Canis lupus familiaris: one gene and its partner. The protein of the gene in region 2 interacts with the protein of the main gene of each other region in a pairwise test. Links are inferred from orthologs where the notes say so. Each region holds a gene or a part of one and is shown on either strand. Other genes may lie near its edges. The genes, in order: ENO3 and ALDOA.

What was found.
Region 1: the proteins of ALDOA (region 2) and ENO3 interact in a two-hybrid assay, tested with the Homo sapiens proteins (2 studies listed by BioGRID and IntAct, with this or other methods). The link is inferred for Canis lupus familiaris from reciprocal best matches to the Homo sapiens genes ALDOA and ENO3.

What each region holds. Positions count from the first base shown.
Region 1 is NC_049226.1:31,870,790-31,875,126, forward strand, and holds the start of ENO3 (beta-enolase), read right to left. Parts: upstream 2,977-4,337; 5' UTR 2,925-2,976; coding exon 2,909-2,924; intron 2,460-2,908; exon of another isoform or gene 2,312-2,459; intron 2,209-2,311; exon of another isoform or gene 2,108-2,208; intron 1,690-2,107; coding exon 1,603-1,689; intron 1,375-1,602; coding exon 1,279-1,374; intron 1,127-1,278; coding exon 1,068-1,126; intron 919-1,067; coding exon 849-918; intron 502-848; coding exon 368-501; intron 1-367. UniProt on the Homo sapiens protein: Glycolytic enzyme that catalyzes the conversion of 2-phosphoglycerate to phosphoenolpyruvate. Appears to have a function in striated muscle development and regeneration.
Region 2 is NC_049227.1:18,241,796-18,246,111, reverse strand, and holds the start of ALDOA (fructose-bisphosphate aldolase A), read right to left. Parts: upstream 2,928-4,316; 5' UTR 2,904-2,927; exon of another isoform or gene 2,903-2,903; intron 2,775-2,902; exon of another isoform or gene 2,618-2,774; intron 1,634-2,617; exon of another isoform or gene 1,483-1,633; intron 159-1,482; 5' UTR 144-158; coding exon 32-143; intron 1-31. UniProt on the Homo sapiens protein: Catalyzes the reversible conversion of beta-D-fructose 1,6-bisphosphate (FBP) into two triose phosphate and plays a key role in glycolysis and gluconeogenesis. In addition, may also function as scaffolding protein.

The DNA of each region.
Region 1 (4,337 bases), on a different chromosome or scaffold from region 2:
CACCCAGTCAGGAGATATGCACTAACGTGACAGCTGACCGAAGAGTCCAAGGGTCTCCATGAACAAGGCCCGGGTTGGGCAAGGACCGAAGAGGACACTAAAGACGTGCCCAGCCCCCGGCACAAAGCAGTGCCCAACCTGACTCAGGAGCTGGGGCCCAGGCAGGACCAGCAACTCGGTGATGCCTGAGTCTGGCCCTGGAATGTGATGGGCCGGGCTTATGTCAAGGGGAGCTCGGATTGTGGGAAGGAGGGAGGGGCCAGAACTGCAGGAGAGGTTCCATCTCAAGAAACCCTGTTTTTGGAGCTGGGTCTGAAGTGTAGACCTTCCTGGGGTTGCTCCACTGGCTCCCAGGAGGGGCACTCACAGGGACGGGCAGGACTAAGTCAGGGTTCCCGGCGAGGTCCGCGATGTGCCGGTAGAGTGGGACCCCTTTCTCTGCCGCTCCAGCCTTGCACACAGCCAGGGACACACCCAAGATGGCATTTGCCCCGAACTTGGCTAGGGGACACAAGCACAGAGAAAGGGTGAGGGCTTCTCCCCCAGGGCCTGGGGTCACCCCACAGAGGACCCGGAACACCACTGCCCTGAGCATGAGGGGGGCGCTGACGGGTCTCTCCCCAGCAGCCAGAGGGGCTCTGGGAGCCCCCAGCCCGGGGAAGGTGCCAGCTTCGCATCTGTGGCCACAGCCAGGCCTGGACAGCAGGCACCAGGAAATGCCTGTGCAATGAATAAAAAACCCAGCCAGCCACCGTGTGCCCCAAAGCGCGGGCCAGGGAAATAATCCCGGGGTCACTCCCACCCCTGCCACGGCCCATCCCTTCCCCCCCGCCCCAGCCCCAACTCACACTTATTCTCTGTCCCATCCAGCTCAATCATGAATTTGTCAACTTTCTCTTGATCCACCACGCTGAGTTTCTGGAAAGAGAGGTTGGAGGGGGAGGGAAGAGCAGAGGTCACGTTGCTCAGGACTCAGGGCATGTGCCAGAGGAGGCACAGGTGCCTGGTGGGGGGACGGGATGGCTGGGCAGCAGGGCTGCAGGGCAGGGAGGCAGGCTCCCTCTTGCCTTTTCCAGCAGAGCAGGGCCTAGGGTCTTGTTGATGTGTTCCACAGCCTTGAGGACACCTAGAGGGGCGGGGGGCGGGGGGTTGGCGGTCAGAAATCGGAGTCCATCAGGCATCTTCCCGGGGCCCCTGCTCCTTGAGGGCTCTGGCTGGGAACACAGATCCCGACGCCACCCATGTGCATAGGCTCCTCCGGCGGTGGTCCTCCCTCACCTTTCCCTAGGTAGCGGGACTTGTCTCCATCTCTCAGTTCCAGGGCTTCGTAGATACCAGTGGAGGCTCCGCTGGGCACAGCTGCTCGAAATCGGCCTGGGCGGGTAGAACAGGAACGTCACCCAGGGCCCCCGGTAGCCCCACAGGCCGAGGTGGGCTCTCTGCGCCCAGGGGCAGGGGGTCTCCTTGTCCTGGCCCAGGAGCCAGGCCTGAGGAGCAAGGCCTGGGGAGGACTCTGGCGAAGGGGACCCCAGAGAAAGGAGAGGGCATGGGGCCTGTGGGCTGGGGTTTCGCAGGGCAGAGCAATGCTGGGAGCCATGGTACCCTTGGCCGTGTGCAGGTCCACTTCTACCGTGGGGTTGCCCCTGGAGTCCAGGATCTCCCGGGCGAAGATTTTCTGCATGGCCATGGCTGCAGGAGGAGAGGTGTGACTGAGTGTGGATAGTTGATCCCTCAAGGAACCCGAAATCCCTTGCCCTTTAAGAGTCTTCCCCACCCCAAGAAGGCAGGTGCTGGAGCTAAAAATATCCCACAAAAAGGTCACAGCCCAAAGAGGCAGGCGCAGCCCCCTCCCCCACTCACAGCAGCTCCAGTTCCACCTCCATCCTCAGGGTCCGCAGCCTCTCCCCTAACTGGTCCCCACAGGTCTCCCTGGACCCCCATCACCCACAGAGTGCACTTAGGCCTCCTCCCTTCCAGTGGAGCACTCGGCTCTCCGTAGCTTGCCAGCCCCAGACCCTCTTCTCTCTTCTGGTTGTCATCTTCCTCCAAATCCACGGGGACCCCAAATCCCCCACCTGGCCCCAACTCCCTCCCCTCCTCCACCCACCTCTGCCTATGGCTCCTCATGGTCTTACAGTCTCCTTCCCTGTCCTGGGTACCCCCATGCTGCTCGCTCCCACCCTTCCAAGTCTCTCAAGCACCCTGGTCCTGGAAGGTAGAAAAAGCTGACACCTCTCCCAACTTTGTCCAAACCAGCACCCACCCTCACCCTTCACCACCCCATCCTCTGGGACTGGAGAACTCAGCAGACCTGGGATGTCTCCGCTGGGGGGAGTCGAGGTGAGCTCTGAGCCTAGGTGGCAGCTGGGACAGTGTCAGCTCACCCCCTCAGGCCGGGCATTTATCTCCTAGCCACCCGACGCCCTGGCCAGCCCCGCCTCTCCCTCTCCATCCTCCCCCTCCACACTGGGCTGGCAGCCAAGTGCCCACTGCAGCCTAAAGCGGGAGCCTTTGGCCCCGACACCTGCCCCCTTCCCAAAGGTCAATGACGACCCCTCCTTCCTCTCTGCTCCCCAATAAAAGCCCCCACATTCAATTCCAGCTCTGGGGAGGGGCCTGGGAGGGCCTTCGGATTGGGGGTCTCTCCCCTGGCCAGGATTATACGCCCCCTTTGCAAAGGTTAAAGAGGAACTTGTGCCCTTTAGCAAAGGCCAGCGGTAACCCGAGCCGGGCAGGGCTGGGGAGGGGGCCTGGAAGAGGGGCTGCAGGATTGATGTCCATACATGCTTGGCTCCCTGGGCAGGCGCCCCCAGGAGGAGGAGGGCGGGGGAGGGGGGCGGTGTGTGTGTCTGGGCAAGCGCTGAGGTCCACCTCGAATTCCCCATGCAGGGAGGCGAGAGGGTCTCACCTCTCAGGGTCCTCATGATGGCCTCTCGGGCCGCCCGCTCTCCCCAGCGCCCCGGGCCAGCAGGGGGTGGGGGAGGGGGCGGGGAGCCCGATTTAGACGGGCGCTCAGCCTCGGCGCGGCGCCCTGCCCGGGGCGCTGGGACAGCACTTGTCGCCCCGCTCATGGAGCGGCGGTCGGGAGCCCCTCTCCCAGCCGAGCCGGGGATTTGGCGACCCCGGCCCTACCCGTGGACGGTGCTCCTAGACCAGGGCTCAGAATGAATGGCGGGGCGGGACGGGACCGGACCGGAGGGGGTGGCCCCTGCGGTCTGAGCGTCGGGTCTGGGGGCGGCGCGGGGTGCGCCCCGGCCCGGGGAGCGTGGGCACCTCGGGGCTCCGGCCCTGACCCTCCACGCCCGCCGGCTCCGGCCGCGCCCTCCCGGACTTTTCCACCCCGGGGTCGGGGGTGCGGCGGGCAGAGGTCAGCAGCCAGCGGGCGGGGAGCGCCGCCACGTGCCCGAGCGCGCCCCGCCCGAGCGGCCGGGTGACTCAGCGGCGCGGCTGTCGAGGAACGGGCTCGGGGGGCGTGGGGGCCCGGAAGCGGCCCAGACCCTCGGCAGCCCCACCTGGGCGGCCGCGGGGCCCTGCCCTTCCCTCCCTTGCCCGCGGGGCGCCCGGCGAGAGCCGCGCGCAAAGCTTCCCAGCACAAGTTTCCCCGAAAAGAAGAAGAAAGAGCCCGAGGGGCCCGAGCGGGAGGGGACTTTCCCCCTCTTGGAAAAGTTGCAAATCTGGCCACCTCCCCGTGTCCTTCCGCCCCGAGAAGTAGTCCCGCCCCTGCCTCCCGCGCCCAGTGACCTCGGCCGCGCCGGGCCAAGGGGCACGGCCGGTGACCCAAAGTGCTGGCAGCGGGGGGCGGGGACGTGGGGCTTGGGCCTGCCTGGGGGGGGGGCTGCTCCTGCACGTGTCTGTCGGGCAGATACTGGAGACACTCGTGCCCCCCCTTCCCGGTGGACGCCTTGGACTCTTGAGGGCGGCCGGGCCCATCTGTCCTCGCGACCCGGGGCTCCCGCAAGTCGTGACTGAATAAAATAGAGAGCGAGCCGCGTGCCCGCCCCTTCCGCCCCGCGGGAGACACGTCCCCGGCCCGCCCGCCTCTGGGGGGTGGGGTGCCGCCGCGCGCACCCCGCTCCCGCGCCGCGGGCCGCCGGCCCCAACCGCCCCGCGCCCTCCCGCCCTCCTGCCCGGCCCGGCGCAGGCGCGGACGCACGCGCCGCCGCCGCCGCTCCTGCCCTCCGGCAGGGGTGGGGGAGGGGCAGCCGTTCCATTTAACCCTGAGCGCCCCGCACCCCCCGCCGGCCCCGCGCGCGGCTCGCCCGTCCGCCGGCTTTCGCATCCTTTCCTCCCTCGGGCTCGCTCCCTTCCCCGGCACCACAGTCCCGTTTGTATTCAAG
Region 2 (4,316 bases):
AGCGCCTCCTCCTACTGTGTCCTGCCCATACCAGTGGACTCATCTGCAGCCAGGATGCCCTTGCCCGGAGCCACAATGCGGTGAGCGATGTCAGAAAGCTCCTTCTTCTGCTCCGGGGTCAGCGCTGGGTATTGGTAGGGCATGTTGCCGGTCAGTTCCTACGCAAAGGATACAGAAAGGGGGAGAACTGGTTAGCTGGGTCTCACCATGGTCTCCCAACAAGCAGGGCCCCTTGCCTGGTGGTCCGGACAAAGGTTCCTTACCTCCCCTGCTCCATACTGGTATGTCTTGGGGCACATTCTGTCCCCAGCCCTCCCCTACTCCCAACTTCCTTATACTAGGCCTGCCTCCTGTACCTTTCCTAACTCTGTTTGTTGCTGGGTGTTTCCCAGCTGAGGGTGGGGTAGCGTACTGTCATCTGGGGAAACGCAATAGGCCAGAGCCATGGACAGACAGGTCATGTAGAAGATGGACCCTTCTGGCTTGCGCTCTGCCATGGGGTCACCTTGCCTAGAAGCAGAACTGAACCAGAGTAGTTTAGAATTTAGAGGTGGTAGGCAGGCAGAGGGCCCAACCCAAGGACTGAAATGAGGGAAAGTTCTGTGCTTTGAGTCCCACAGCAGAAGGGCCAGAGCTGAGATTAGAACCCAGATCTTCTGACCACCAGGGCCTTTCAACCCACCCAAGATCCCAGGGCTGGCCCAGGCTTGAAGGCCTCAAGGACATCCCAAGGTCAAGTTTCTCCCCCCAGGTTTGAGGGAGGGTGTTAGGAAAAGGGTGTTAGAAAAAGGGGCAGAAATGTAATCAGAAGCCCAGGAAAGGTAAGCAGAGGAAGCCCAGCCGGAGGTGGCGGAAAGGGGTAAGGTTTGCCGATCTCACTGCTCATACAGGGTTAAGAGAATTGTAGAGAGGCAAGAGCCCCACCCCTTCCCCTGAAAATGCTCTCGTCTTTTCGCACGGCTGCAGCTGCTCCAGGCTCCCAATCAAGGTCACCCGATAAGGAAAGACACGGAAAGTGTTAACGGGTCATCAGGCGCCTCCTAGGGGTTTCCCCCTCCTCGCCGGGGTCGCCCACCTCCCAGGGCAGAGACCAACCACGCTTTCGGAAACCCTAAAGCACTATAAGAACTGGCCCCCACCCCTCGCGGCCTCTTAGGATCCCCGCAGAGGCAAAGGGGTCATAACGCTTTGCACCTGGGGTCTCAGCAAGAAGAGGAGAGGAAGAACGGCCCTTCATCTCGTCCTGCTTCCTCCCCCGCCATGACTCAGCGCGCGGAGCCGCGGCACTGCGCCGCAAACCCGGGGAACCCAAGCCGGAGAGGGTTGCGGAGCCGGGACTGGAGCATGTGGGTGGTGGTGGGGCGTGGGAGATGCTGGGAATGGGGGGTGGGGGCGGGGAGGGCTTCCGATTGCCCTCCCCGACGGTCCCCCAGGATCCTTCTCCATGGTCCCTGACCTTCGCACGTGGCAAGGGGCGCTCACCTGGCACGGGAGGGGGCGGGCTTGCGGGGCGCGGCGGTGGAGGGCGGCGGGCGGGCGAGCGGGCTGAGGGAGCGAACGCGGCCGTCGTCACCAGGACCCCGGTTCTGCGGCGCGTTCCAGGAGGAACGCAGCCTATTCAGCTCCGAGGGGGCGGCGCAGGGGGCGGGGAGGAGGGAGGCGGCGCCGGGCCTTATAAAGGCGCCGCGCCAGCCTCCGCCGGGTTTTTTTCCCTTGAAGGGGGCCGGAGGCGCCCTGGCGTCCAATTGCAGGCGAGGAACAGTGCAGAGGCCGCCCCCGAACGGCGAAGCCCGGAGGCGGCGCTTGGGCGGGGACAGCGCGGCGAGAACACGATCCCTCCCCCGGCCCCCTAAGACGTGACTCGGGCCACATCCTGCGGGTCGCCGGGGCCCTCCCCTCCCTCTCCCTTCCCCCCCCCCAGTTGGCACGTTCTGGGGCGCCGTGACTCAGCCCATTTGGGGCACCGGAGGAGGTGGGGAGGGGGAAAGCGGGTGCGAGAGCCTCCCCCGCCCGGCGCGGCCCGGGGCAGCCCGGCTTCCGGCCCGCGGGACTCCCGCGAGTGACCCGCTGGGGCAGAACCCGGAGGCCGGGCGTCGGCCGACCTCGCCCGCGGGCTCCGCTAGCCGGTTCAGGGGCTCCGGGGCGTGGGGCCGCCCTCCCGGGGTCACCAGTCCAGGCGGAAGAGCGGCCGCACGGGGAGGAGCGCGAGAGGGCGGCGGGGCGGGCGGAGGCCGGAGGGCGGAGGGCGGAGGCCGGGCGGCAGCGGTTCCGGGCAGCCGGCCCGCGCGGGTGTGGGCGCCGCAGCCGCGCCCGTCGGGCTCGGGGCCCCGGGGCCGGCCCCGCACCGCTGCGCACGCGCTCTCCGCCCGGGGCCAGCGCGGACCGGCCTGCAGCGGCGCCCGCTCGCCCCGGCGAGTCTGGGAGTGCGGCGCCAGAGTCCTCGCGGAAACGTCTCCCTGGGACCTGGCTTCCCCCTCCGAATCCAATCTGCCCCTAGGGGTCAGCCCCAGCAACACCGCGAGCCCCTCGTCCGAGGGGCCAGGCCTCCCTCCTACTCTGGGCCCCTTAGGCCCCACCCCACCCCACCCCACCCCTGCTGCGTCCCGCTGGCGCCCACCTGCGAGGAGGCTGAAGGAGAGGGCAGAGCCTGGTCAGCAGCGAGTGAGCCAGGCTGCTCCCGGGCTGGGTTATAAGGCAGCTCCTGCCCTCCCCCCAGCCAATGTCCCCAACCTCCTCCGGTGACCCCTGCCCTTTCCTTGCCACGGATCCCCTGGCAGGGACCTATATTTAGGGAAACCTGAAGCCCCTGACATTCATGCCAGCATGGGGCCTAAAGTGAGGGAAGGGGGAGAAAACCGTGGGCCTGCCCTACTTGGGGGGCATGGGGAGCCCTGTCCACTCACCGTACTTCAGAAGAATTTCCTTGGAAATCCAGCCCTCAGAAGTTGGCAAAAGAAATCAATCTTTGCACAGGGATCTGTGGGGAGGGAAGAAGAGGAAAGGAGATTCAGATCTGTGGGCCTCCCTGTCTTCTCAGACCTCCCTCCCCTCTAGGCCCTGTGATTCTGGAGAGACCATTCTTTTGGTGGGAGAGCAGATACAGATGCTACACTCACCTCAAAACAACCAAGAGTCCATGGATAAGGTGTGGCTGGGGTACCCTATATCCTGAAACTCAGGGCTGAAGTTTGTCCCATAAGGTGGTCAGTGGTGAGCAGTGTCTCCCACCCTCATGTTCAATTATAATAGTTTATGTGGGGAGGGGAGAGGCAGGCAGAGGCTCGTGTCAGAGCACTAGCCCCTCTCTCTCCTGGCCCTCCAAAGGGGCTTCGGTCCAACTGGCCAAGGGCTCCCTGAGTCCTGCTCTGCAGGGAGCCAGGCTCTCCACTGCTGGTTCCCAGGGGGAGGAGCTGAGCAGGCCATCTGTGGTTCCAGTGGCCTGGAGAAAAGTGCCTGGAGGCTCATCAGGGATGGGGGCTTGGTGGCCCCGGGGGCTGGCCACTCTCCAAGGGGCAAGAAGTCTGGATCTTCATCGGAGCTTGATCTCGAAGCAGAGACAGTTGAGGCTCTGGCAGTCAGGAAGTTGGCACGCACAAGCACAGTCACAGAGTGGGCAGCAGCGAGGGCAGCGAGGGCCCCAGCCCTGAGGGAAAGGAGAAGGGGGTGAAGGAGGTGGGCCAGAGTCCTAGTCCCCGAAGCTGTTTCCCTCTCAAGGGAGAAGGCAACAGAGAGGCCTGGAAAGCCCCATTTGCCCAGTGGAACAAAGGGTACCATCTACCAGTCCTGGGAACAAATCAATTCCCTGTGCTGTTGAGAACTCAGCAAGGAAGCAGTGTTCCAAACAGCTGAGTGCAGGAGCTGGAAGAAATTATCCAAGGGGTTCTTCCCTTCCCATTTTATTTTATTTATTTATTTATTTTTTATTTCTTTATTCGTTCAGAGAGAGAGAAGAGAGAAGCAGAGACACAGGCAGAGGGTGAAGCAGGCTCCATGCAGGAAGCCCGATGTGGGACTCGATCCTGGGTCTCCAGGATCACACCCCCGGCTGCAGGTGGCGCTAAACCGCTGCACCACCAGGGCTGCCCTCCCTTCCCATTTTATAGGCAAGGGGACTAAAAGATCAAGTAGCCCTGTTCCATTAGGTCCCAATGTTCAGTTCAAAGATGATTCTACTATATCCTTGTGGCCCCATTCAGTTCCAAGTCAGGAGACAAGGGGGAGTGCACACACATTTTCCATCCATGATGAAAAGAACCTGGTTCTGTGGCTTTCTTCCTTGGCCTAAGACTCAACTGCAGGATCTCCATCATTTCTGA